Linked DNA regions of Macaca fascicularis. The protein of the gene in region 2 interacts with the protein of the main gene of each other region in a pairwise test. Links are inferred from orthologs where the notes say so. Each region holds a gene or a part of one and is shown on either strand. Other genes may lie near its edges.

Evidence for each region. The genes of interacting proteins can lie anywhere in the genome.
Region 1: the proteins of HTT (region 2) and PKM interact in binary tests that used the Homo sapiens proteins (3 or more experiments, as listed by UniProt). The link is inferred for Macaca fascicularis from reciprocal best matches to the Homo sapiens genes HTT and PKM.

Annotation. Positions count from the first base shown.
Region 1 is NC_088381.1:49,032,389-49,037,150, forward strand, and holds part of PKM (pyruvate kinase PKM), read right to left. Parts: intron 4,349-4,762; coding exon 4,182-4,348; exon of another isoform or gene 3,780-4,181; coding exon of another isoform or gene 3,613-3,779; intron 1,508-3,612; coding exon 1,326-1,507; intron 603-1,325; coding exon 496-602; 3' UTR 1-495. UniProt on the Homo sapiens protein: Catalyzes the final rate-limiting step of glycolysis by mediating the transfer of a phosphoryl group from phosphoenolpyruvate (PEP) to ADP, generating ATP.
Region 2 is NC_088379.1:3,291,924-3,297,427, forward strand, and holds the start of HTT (huntingtin), read left to right. Parts: upstream 1-1,837; 5' UTR 1,838-1,976; coding exon 1,977-2,212; intron 2,213-5,504.

The DNA.
Region 1 (4,762 bases), on a different chromosome or scaffold from region 2:
AGGGCGGGGACAGGTGCGAACTGGGGAGGCCCAGGGGGCTGGGGAAGCAAGTAAGGGCCAGGGCCAGAGTCAGCTTCAAGGGAACAACAGCCCCTTGCCCTAAGGCCCCTAACTCTCTAGCTGTTTCCTGACCCCAGGCCAGGGTTGGGAGTCCTCTGGGCATCCATTTTTTCTCAAGGAACTGGACGGAGTATACACAGGAAAGAAAGCTGTCACCCTCTTGCCATCTGGCTCCAGGGGCCTCCAGTCCAGCATTCCTCCTTCTTCCCTTGATTGGGTGGGGCCGCATGATGGGCAGCCAGGCTCTGGGCTGTCCCACTAGAGCAGGCTGCAAACACAGCCATGTTTCAGCGAGGCACTAATCTTCTTCCCTGGTGTCCCAGCCCACCAGTGCCACATTACAGCCCAGAGTGAGTTCTACAAGCGTTGCTGGCCTAATGGATGGGTTGGGGGAAGGGGGTGGGACAGGGGCTGGAGGAAGGGCTCTCAGGTTCATCACGGCACAGGAACAACACGCATGGTGTTGGTGAAGCCGGAGCCAGGGCGCCATCCGGTCAGCACAATGACCACATCTCCCTTCTTGAAGAAGCCTCGGGCCTTGCCTGGGGGAAGAGAAGGGAGATTGGTAAGTAAAAGCCAAGCCAGGCAGGTGTGCACCTGGGCAGCTGCCCCATAGCCTGAGCACTGAACTAGGCTGGCTGACCACTACACTACTTCCTCACACCACAAGGTGGCACCAAACTTACAGCCCAGGCAAACAGGAGGGAGGCCCTGAAATGTCCTTATCACTCAGATGGCAGGGTTGGCAGGGTTGGCAGGGACCTTTGGACATCTTTCACTTCATCCTCCAGAGGGTGCAAAGCTTTGCCCAGGGTCAAGAGCTAGCTGCTTCCTGTCATCCGGTGATACCCTACCTTATACAGGGACAATGGCCACATCAGTACATAATCTGTGTATGCCACCCCACAGCACAGGAGCTGTAGCCAATTTTATTTAAAAAACAAAAACAAAAACAAAACCCTCAGTAATGAGCAGATGCCAAAGAATGGACAATTTTGCTTTGAGTCCCAGACTAGAAGAGAAGAGGAAAGGAACTGCTCAACCCTACAACTCAAAGGACCCTTTTCTCTCCTGGGCTCAGCTTAGGACTTCCAGGAATGACAGATTCAGAAAGAACATTCCCAATGAGGGAGAGAACAGTCAGCTGGGCCTTTTGCCCCTCTATGTTTCCCTTTCTATTCCCCAAACTTTCAGGGTCCCACAGAAGCCAATGCTCAAGCATCCCCAAACCCCTCTAGGCTCTAGCCCCTGCTCCAGCCACGTACCAACATTCATGGCAAAGTTCACCCGGAGATCCACGTCCTCAGCCCAGGCCTCCTGGACTGGGTCCTTGCACAGCACAGGGAAGATGCCACGGTACAGGTGGGCCTGACGAGCTGTCTGGGGATTCCGGGTCACAGCAATGATGGGGGCACGTGGGCGGTATCTGGCCACCTGATGAGCAGACCTGAGATGGGATGGGGGACATACAGAAGAGACCATTACACAAGGCCCCAGGAAGTACCTCAGGGTATTCAAACAGCTCATCCTCTCACCCAGCTCACTGATGGCTCTGGCCTCTTCAACATCTGCTCCCTAGGACCCCTCCCAAGGCTAGGGCAGCCCCTCATCCTATATCCTCCATAGCAGGCTAGGCTACCATCTGCCCTCTACCCCCACTCCACAGGCCAAGGGCCCAGGATTATCCTGACCCAGGATTATCTTGACCCAAGGTCAGCCTCACCCACTTATCTCACACAGCCCATGGTTGGCAGAACCCCTCCTACACTCTGACACAGACAGGCAGCCCTGGCCCAGTGTCACCAGCACCCATTCCTCTCGCTGCCGGTGACACCTACAAGCCAAGTAGCATGTAGAGCAGTAGCAGAGCTGACCAGCCCCATGGGAATCAACATCAGGCTTCTCTACTTTTGTGCCCTCTTCCCTGTCCCACATGGCCCCTGGCTCCTGAAACAGTCCAGCAACTGAGCTATAAAGGCCCAGAGTCAAATCTGAGTATCTAGGTGAGGCTTAGAAATCTAAGTGCTACTCAGCAGGCAAGAACAGGAAATGGGAGTGTTGGTGCAGGAGCAGCTCTGCCTGCCAAAGCTCCTTTGGAAGGCAGGGGACCCTTCTGAAGCCCCTGTGCCAGGCGCTTTCTTGAACACTGACACTGCACACTTGTAGGTGCAGCTGTGTCTCAGGAGCTGGGGAGGGGCACCAGAAGGGAAGTTATGAGGACACTCAACAGGTGTCAGGGAAACTTAAGCCATATCATAGCAGAGAAGTCCCTGCACTTCACGCTTGGCCTATATGCAAGGCCATCAGAGGGAAGCAACTGCTGAAGCTAGGACCAGCTGAGTGAAACCCCAGAAGACTAGAGCTTAAAATAGCCAAACAGCAAGAACTGGACCTTTTAAGAAAGGTCAACCCTACTGGTTGAAGCTGTTCAGCCAAGAGTGGGAGGCTGCAGCCCTCTGCTGAGGGCATCTGCACAGAGCTTGTGTCCTGGTTCTCTGGGCTGCCCATGCCCACCTGCTACTCCTCAGTGCATGGGCACTGCCTGTTTGCTCTTCTCCAGGAAACCCTCGCTGCCCTGTGGGCAGGGACAAGGAGCATAATCCCTAACTAGGAGAGTGAAGGACATTAACTCAATGTCCTGGGCTAAGGAAGGGATCCCAAGTTGGAGGCTCAGCATAGGCCACACAGTCCTCAGCCTGGCTGCCTGGCCCCACAGAATGTCAGCCAAGATAGCACAGCAACCTCTCCTGAGCTGGAAACCAATTTGTCTTTAGGGCTCGAAAACAGCAGGGACTAGTGCGCCAAATGGAGGCACAGTAAACAGCATTTAAATAAATTCATTTTCCCAACTGAAATTTTTAAAGAGCACATAGTAACTGGAATAAGCAAAAGTGGTTATCTTTTACTATTTTAGAGGACTAAATTTTTTTTTTTTTTTTTTTGAGACGGAATCTCACTCTGTCGCCCAGGCTGGAGTGCAGTGGTGCGATCTCGGCTCACTGCAAGCTCCACCTCCTGGGTTCACGCCATTCTCCTACCTCAGCCTCCAGAGTAGCTGGGACTACAGGCGCCCGCCGCCACGCCCAGCTAATTTTTTGTATTGTTAGTAGAGACGGGGTTTCACCGTGTTAGCCAGGATGGTCTCAATCTCCTGACCTCGTGATCCGCCCACCTCGGCCTCCCAAAATGCTGGGATTACAGGCACAAGTCACCGCGCCCGGCCTACAGGAGTGAGCCACAGCGCCTGGCTACTAAATTTTCAATATCAAATAACCATTTGTAGTCAGCCTGTGCACTATTATGTAATAAATCTCCAGCATAAACTTGCTTTTGATCCAAATGTTCTGACATTCCTTATGTGTGCTGCCTAGAGTCCTCTGGGCCCAGGGAAGGGGCTCTGCTCAATCCTTCTCTGCAGGCCCAAGGTGGCAGGCAGAGGGGTCTTACCTTGGCTCAGTGCCACCTGAGCATTGTTCAATGCACTGCTCCCAGGACCCCCAAGGAGAGGTGCCACTGAGCGGGGCATCCCAGGGAGCCGCTGCCACCTCCTACCTGCCAGACTTGGTGAGGACGATTATGGCCCCACTGCAGCACTTGAAGGAGGCCTCCACGGCACCCACGGCGGTGGCTTCTGTGGGGTCGCTGGTAATGGGCGCCAGGCGGCGGAGTTCCTCAAATAATTGCAAGTGGTAGATGGCGGCCTCTGCCTCACGGGCAATCTAGGGGAGCAACATCCGTCCAGAGGGACGAGAGGGGGACAGAGCTTTGTCAGAGCTTTGTCACAGAAGGAGAGGGAGGGGAAGAGTCACCCGGACAGCTGGTGAGGAACATGTTCCTAGGGACAAAGGCCAAGAGTAGCCCAGTCACTGGAGATGCTGAGCTGAGCCAATTTCAAGACTCCACAGAAACCAGTCCTTCACCAAGTGCCTGTGACATCTGCTGTGCCTACTGAGCCACAGGACCCTTTGGTCCTGCCCTGCCATGACCTCCCTGGCGGTATTCCTATAGACAAGAAGAGGCTCTGTGCCCAGGTGCCAGGTTGGGCCTGGCTGTCTTCTCCTGGAACAGCTGAAGCAAGAGGCTGGTTATCCTAGCAGTGTTACCTGCCCTTAGGGCCCTACCTGCCAGACTCCGTCAGAACTATCAAAGCTGCTGCTAAACACTTATAAGAAGCCTCCACGCTGCCCATGGCCATGGCTTCCATGAGGTCTGTGGAGTGACTTGAGGCTCGCACAAGTTCTTCAAACAGCTTGCGGTGGAACATGGCTGCCTCAGCCTCACGAGCTATCTGTAAGGTTTAGGGGAAGAGGGGAAAAGGAAGAGGGAAGGAGGAGGAAAAAAACAAGACACAACACATGGGAAGACAGAATGGGGAATTAATCAGAGAGGAAGGTAACCTTAGGTTAATTGGCTAAATCTGTCCTTCAGGCAGATGCGGAGGTAGGGTGATGAAAGTCCAACTGCTTCAGGAGGTGCTGCCACTTCCCCTCCAACACAGGGGAAATTGGCTCTTCCGTTCTGGAAGGATTTGATTGGGGATGGAGGGAGACAATCTGGCAGTAGGCTCTAGCACTCTGGCATGAAAACATGCCCAGGCTGGGCCCACACCACTCCCTGGCAGAGGACTTGATCACGCTGCCTCACGACATAGCTTACAGAAAGGAACAGGCCCTCCCTCCTCACATGGCTGTCTGGTTAGGCA
Region 2 (5,504 bases):
CACTACGCCGGGCTAATTTTTGTATTTTTAGCAGAGACAAGGTTTCGCCATGTTTGGCCAGGCTGGTCTCGAACTCCTTACCTCTGGTGATCTGCCTGCCTTGGCCTCCCAAAGTGCTGGGATTACAGGCGTGAGCCACCGCACCCAGCTGGAACTTAATTTTTTTAAAGATCGTGTTGCTCTATCGCCCAAGCTGGAGTGCAGTGGTGCAACCATAGCTCACTTGCAGCCACAAATTCCTGGCTTCAGGTGATCCTCCTACATCAGCCTCCCAAGAACTGGGAACTAACGGCTGTTTCTCTGCTGTCCTTCTCAAGACAAGGGAGGGAGACAATGCTGGGTTTCCCTTTGGGACAGGCTCTGAGACAAGGTGGAGGTGCTGCTTGTGGCCACAGAGCAGGGGACTCTGGGTTGCAGGTGTGGCCTGGCTTGAGTAGGCTTTAGTGGGCTTCTCTCTGCCTGCACCACCCCCGGGCTGGGTGGTTGTCTCTGAGGCCAACCCTACTCCCTAATGGGCAGGCTGGACAGCTGCCCTCTCTGTTTGCCCCTCTACCACCCAAAAGGCGGGAGGCTCTGGAGACCAGGACCCTGCCTGCGCCGGCCTGTGCCCCAGGCGTGAGGGGGTGCCCCACAGATCTCTGCTGAGCTGAGGCTGAATGGCACCCCTTGGGGGTCCTGCCAGGTCAGAGCAGGGTGCTTTCCCATACAGAAACGCCCCCAGGTCGGGACTCATTCCTGTGGGAGGCGTCTTGTGGCCACCGCTGCTTCTCGCTGCACTAATCACAGTACCTCTGTGGGCAGCAGGCGCTGACCATCCGGGCCTGCCTCAGACCCTCTCCTCCCTTCCGGGGCGCTGCGCTGGGACCGATGGGGGGCGCCAGGCCTGTGGGCACCGCCCTGCAGGGGCCGCTCCAGCTCACTGGAGGGTGGGGAGGGTCACACTTGGGGTCTTCAGATCGCGCCGACCACGCGCAATCTCTGCGCTCTGCGCAGGGGCTCGCCCACCCTCTCCCCGTGCAGCGAGTCCCCAGCAGGCTCCCCGCAGGGCTGTCCAGGTGAGCCTGGCTCTGGCCGCGGGCCAGTGTGGCGGGCGGGCAAGCCCCGAGGCCACCTCGGCTCAGAGCCCACGGCCGGCTCTCGCCCAGCTCCAGACGTCTGCGAGGGTTCCATTCCGCTTGGGCCGGCGCCCCGCGCGCCGCGCCCTGGCCCCGCCCCGCCCTGGCCCCGCCCCTCCCTCACCCCGCCCCCTCTGCACCCCACCCCTCCCTGGCCCCGCCCTCCGCGCCCCACCTCTCATCTTCCCGCCCCACCCCCAGCCACGCCCCTCACGGTCAGCCCCCTCCCCTATCCGCCCCGCCTCTCATCGTCTCGCCTCGCTCCGCCCCTCAGCCGTCCCGCCCCTCAGGCGCCCTGCCTAATGTCCCCGCCCCCAGCCTCGCCCCGCTCCGCCCCAGCCTCGCCCCGCCCCGCCCCTCAGGCGCCCTGCCTGCTGTGCCCCGCCCCAGCCTCGCCACGCCCCTCGTTACCATGTAGTCCCGCCCCGTTCCTTCCGCGTCCCGCCTCGCCCTGCCCCTTCACAGCTTCGCCCCACCCCATTACAGTCTTGCCACGCCCCGTCCCCTGTCCGTTGAGCCCTGCTCCTTCGCCCAGGTGGGGCGCTGCGCTGTCAGAGGCTTTGGTGGCTCTGTGAGGCAGAACATGCGGGCGCAGGGACTGGCTGGCTCCCTGGCCAGTCATTGGCAGAGTCCGCAGGCTAGGGCTGTCAATCATCCTGGCCGGCGTGGCCCCGCCTCCGCCGGCGCAGCGTCTTGAGACGCAAGGCGCCGCGGGGGCTGCCGGGACGGGTCCAAGATGGACGGCCGCTTCGGTTCCGCTTTTACCCGCGGCCCAGAGCCCCATTCATTGCCCCGGTGCTGAGCGGCGCTGCGAGTCGGCCCGAGGCCTCCGGGGACTGCCCAGCCGGGCGGGAGACCGCCATGGCGACCCTGGAAAAGCTGATGAAGGCCTTCGAGTCTCTCAAGTCCTTCCAGCAGCAGCAGCAGCAGCAGCAGCAACAGCCACAGCCGCAGCCGCCGCCGCCGCCGCCGCCGCCTCCTCCTCAGCTTCCTCAGCCGCCGCAGGCACAGCCGATGCTGCCTCAGCCGCAGCCGCCCCCGCCGCCGCCCCCGCCACCACCCGGCCCGGCTGTGGCTGAGGAGCCGCTGCACCGACCGTGAGTTTGGGCCCGCTGCAGCTCCCTGTCCCGGCGGGTCCCAGCCTACGGCGGGGATGGCGGAATCCTGCACCCTGCGGGCCGGCGACACGAACCCCCCCGGCCCCGCAGCGACAGAGTGACCCAGCAACCCAGAGCCAATGAGGGACACCCGCCCCCTCCTGCGGCGAGACCTTCCCCCACTTCAGCCCCGGTCCCGCACTTGGGTCTTGTCCTCCCGCGAGGGGAGGCAGAACCTCGTTGGGACCTGTCCTGAATTCACGGAGGGGAGTCACGGCCTCAGCCCTCTCGCCCTTTCCAGGGTGCGAAGAGTTGGGGCGAAAACTTGTTTCTTTTTATTTGCGAGAAACTAGGGCGGGGGTTTAACTGTGTTCTGAAGAGAACTTGGAAGAGCCGAGATTTGCTCAGGGCCACTTCCCTCATCTAGTCAGAGAGGGAAGAGGGCTGGGGGCGCGGGACACCTCGAGAGGAGGCGGGGTTTGGAGCTAGAGAGATGTGGGGGCAGTGGATGACATAATGCTTTTAGGACGCCTCGGCGGGAGTGGCTGGGGTGGGGGGCGGGGAGTGAGGGCGCGTCCAATGGGAGATTTATTTTCCAAGTGGCACTTAAAACAGCCTGAGATTTGAGGCTCTTCCTACATTCTCAGGGCATTTCATTTAGTTCATGATCGCGGTGGTAGTAACACGATTTTAAGCACCACCTAAGAGACCTGCTCATCTAAGCGCAAGTTAGTGTGCAGGCATTTGAATGAGTTGTGGTTGCCAAATAAGTGGTGAACTTACGTGGTATTAATAAAATTATCTTAAATATTAGGAAGAGTTGATTGAAGTTTATTGCCTGTTTGTGTTGGGAATAAAACTAACACGTTGCTGAGGGGGAGGTTAATTGCCGAGGGATGAATGAGGTATACATTTTACCAGTATTGCAGTCAGGCTTGCCAGAATATGGGAGGTCTGCAGACTCCGTGGACATCTCATGTGCCAGTGAAAGGGTTTCTGTTCGCCTCATTGCTGACAGCTTGTTACTTTTTGGAAGCTAGAGGTCTCTGTTGCTTGTTCTTGGGGAGAATTTTTGAAACAGAAAAAGAGACCATTAAAACATCTAGCGGAACCCCAGGACGTGGGAGTGTGTGCTGAGTGTTTAGCAGGATTTAGGAAGTACTCCGCTGCAGTTCAGGCCTTTCTCTTACCTCTCAGTGTTCTATTTCCGATCTGGACGTGTATCAGATGGCATTTGATAAGAATATCTCTATTAAGACTGATTAATTTTTAGTAATATTTCTTGTTCTTTGTTTCTGTTATGATCCTTGCCTTGTCTTGAAAGTTTAATTAGAAGAGGAGGATTTGGAGAGCAGTGTTAGCTTATTTGTTAGAGTAAAATTTAGGAATAAATTCTTCTAAAGGATGGAAAAACTTTTTGGATATTTAGAGAAATTTTTAAACAATTTGGCTTATCTCTTCAGTAAGTAATTTCTCATCCTTCCAGAAATTTACTGTAGTGCCTTTCTAGGAGGTAGGTGTCATAGAAGTTCACACATTGCATGTATCTTGTGTAAACACTAAACTGGGCTCCTGATGGGAAGGAAGACCTTTCTGCTGGGCTGCTTCAGACACTTGATCATTCTGAAAATATGCCGTCTCTTTCCTGTGCTGATTTGATAGAACCTGCGTTTGCTTATCTTCAAAATATGGGTATCAAGAAATTTCCTTTGCTGCCTTTACAGAGGAGATAGATTTTGTTTCATTACTTTATTTTAAGGTAATATATGATTACCTTATTTTAAAAATTTAATCAGGCCTGGCAAGGTGGCTCATGCCTTTAATCCGAGCACTTTGGGAGGCTTAGGCGGATGAATCACCTGAGGTCAGGAGTTCGAGACCAGTCTGGCTAACATGGTGAAACCCCATCTCTACTAAAAGTACAAAAATTAGTTGGTCATGGTGGCACGTGCCTGTAATGCCAGCTACCTGGGAGGCTGAGGCAGGAAAATCGCTGGAACCCGGGAGGCAGAGGCTGCAGTGAGCTGAGACTGCGCCACTGCACTCCAGCCTGGGTGCCAGAGCGAGACTCTTGTCTCAAAAAAAAAAAAAAAAAAAGAAATTATTATTTTTGCATAAGTAATACATTAACATGACACAAATTCCGTAATTACAAAAGAGCAATACTTAAAATATCTTCCTTCCACCCCTTTCATCTGAGTACCTAACTTTGTCCCCAAGAACAAGCACTATTACAGTTCCTCCTGTATCCTGCCAGATATAATCTATGCATATTGTAAGATAGATTTAAAATGCTGTAAAAATAAAAGTAGTTTACGGTAATAATTTTTTTTCTTTATTTTTTTTGAGATGTAGTCTCACATTGTCACCCAGGCTGGAGTGCGGTGGTATGATCTTGGCTCACTGCAACCTCCACCTCCCAGGTTCAAACGATTCTCCTGCCTCAGCCTCCAGAGTCGCTGGGATTACAGGTGCCCACCACCATGTCCAGCTGATTTTTGTATTTTTAGTAGAGATGGGGTTTCACCATGTTGGCCAGGCTGGTCTTGAACTCCTGACCTCGGAATCCATCCACCTCGGCCTCCCAAAGTGCTGGGGTTACAGGTGTGAGCCACTGCCCCTGGCTAGAATAATAACTTTTAAAGGTTCTTAGCATTCTCTGAAATCAACTGCATTAGGTTTATTTATAGTTATTTTAAATAAAATGCATATTTGTCATATTTGTATGTATTTTGCTGTTGAGAAAGGAGGTATTCACTAATTTTGAGTAACAAACACTGCTCACAACAAACAAACTCAAAAGTTTGGATTTTGGCATTTCTGTTCATGTGCTTCAGCCAAAAAATCCTCTTCTCAAAGTAAGATTGACTAAAGCAATTTAGAAAGTATCTGTTTTTATGGCTCTTGCTCTTTTGTGTGGAACCGTGGTGTCATGCCATGCATGGGCCTCAGTCTAAGTATGAGCGTATGTGCTCTGCTCAGCATACAGGATGTGGGAGTTCCGTGTGGGGCTGGCCACAGTCTCAGCAAATCTAGCATGCTTGGGAGGGTCCTCACAGTAATTAGGAGGCAACTGATACTTGCTTCTGGCACTTCCTTATTCTCCTTCAGATTCCTATCCGGTGTTTCCCTGACTTTATTCATTCATCAGTAAATATTTACTAAACATGTACTATGTACCTAGCACTGTTCTAGATGCAGGGCTCAGCAGTGAGCAGACAAAGCTGTGCCCTCATGAAGCTTTCATTCTAATGAAGGACATAGACAATAAGCAAGATAGATAAGTAAAATA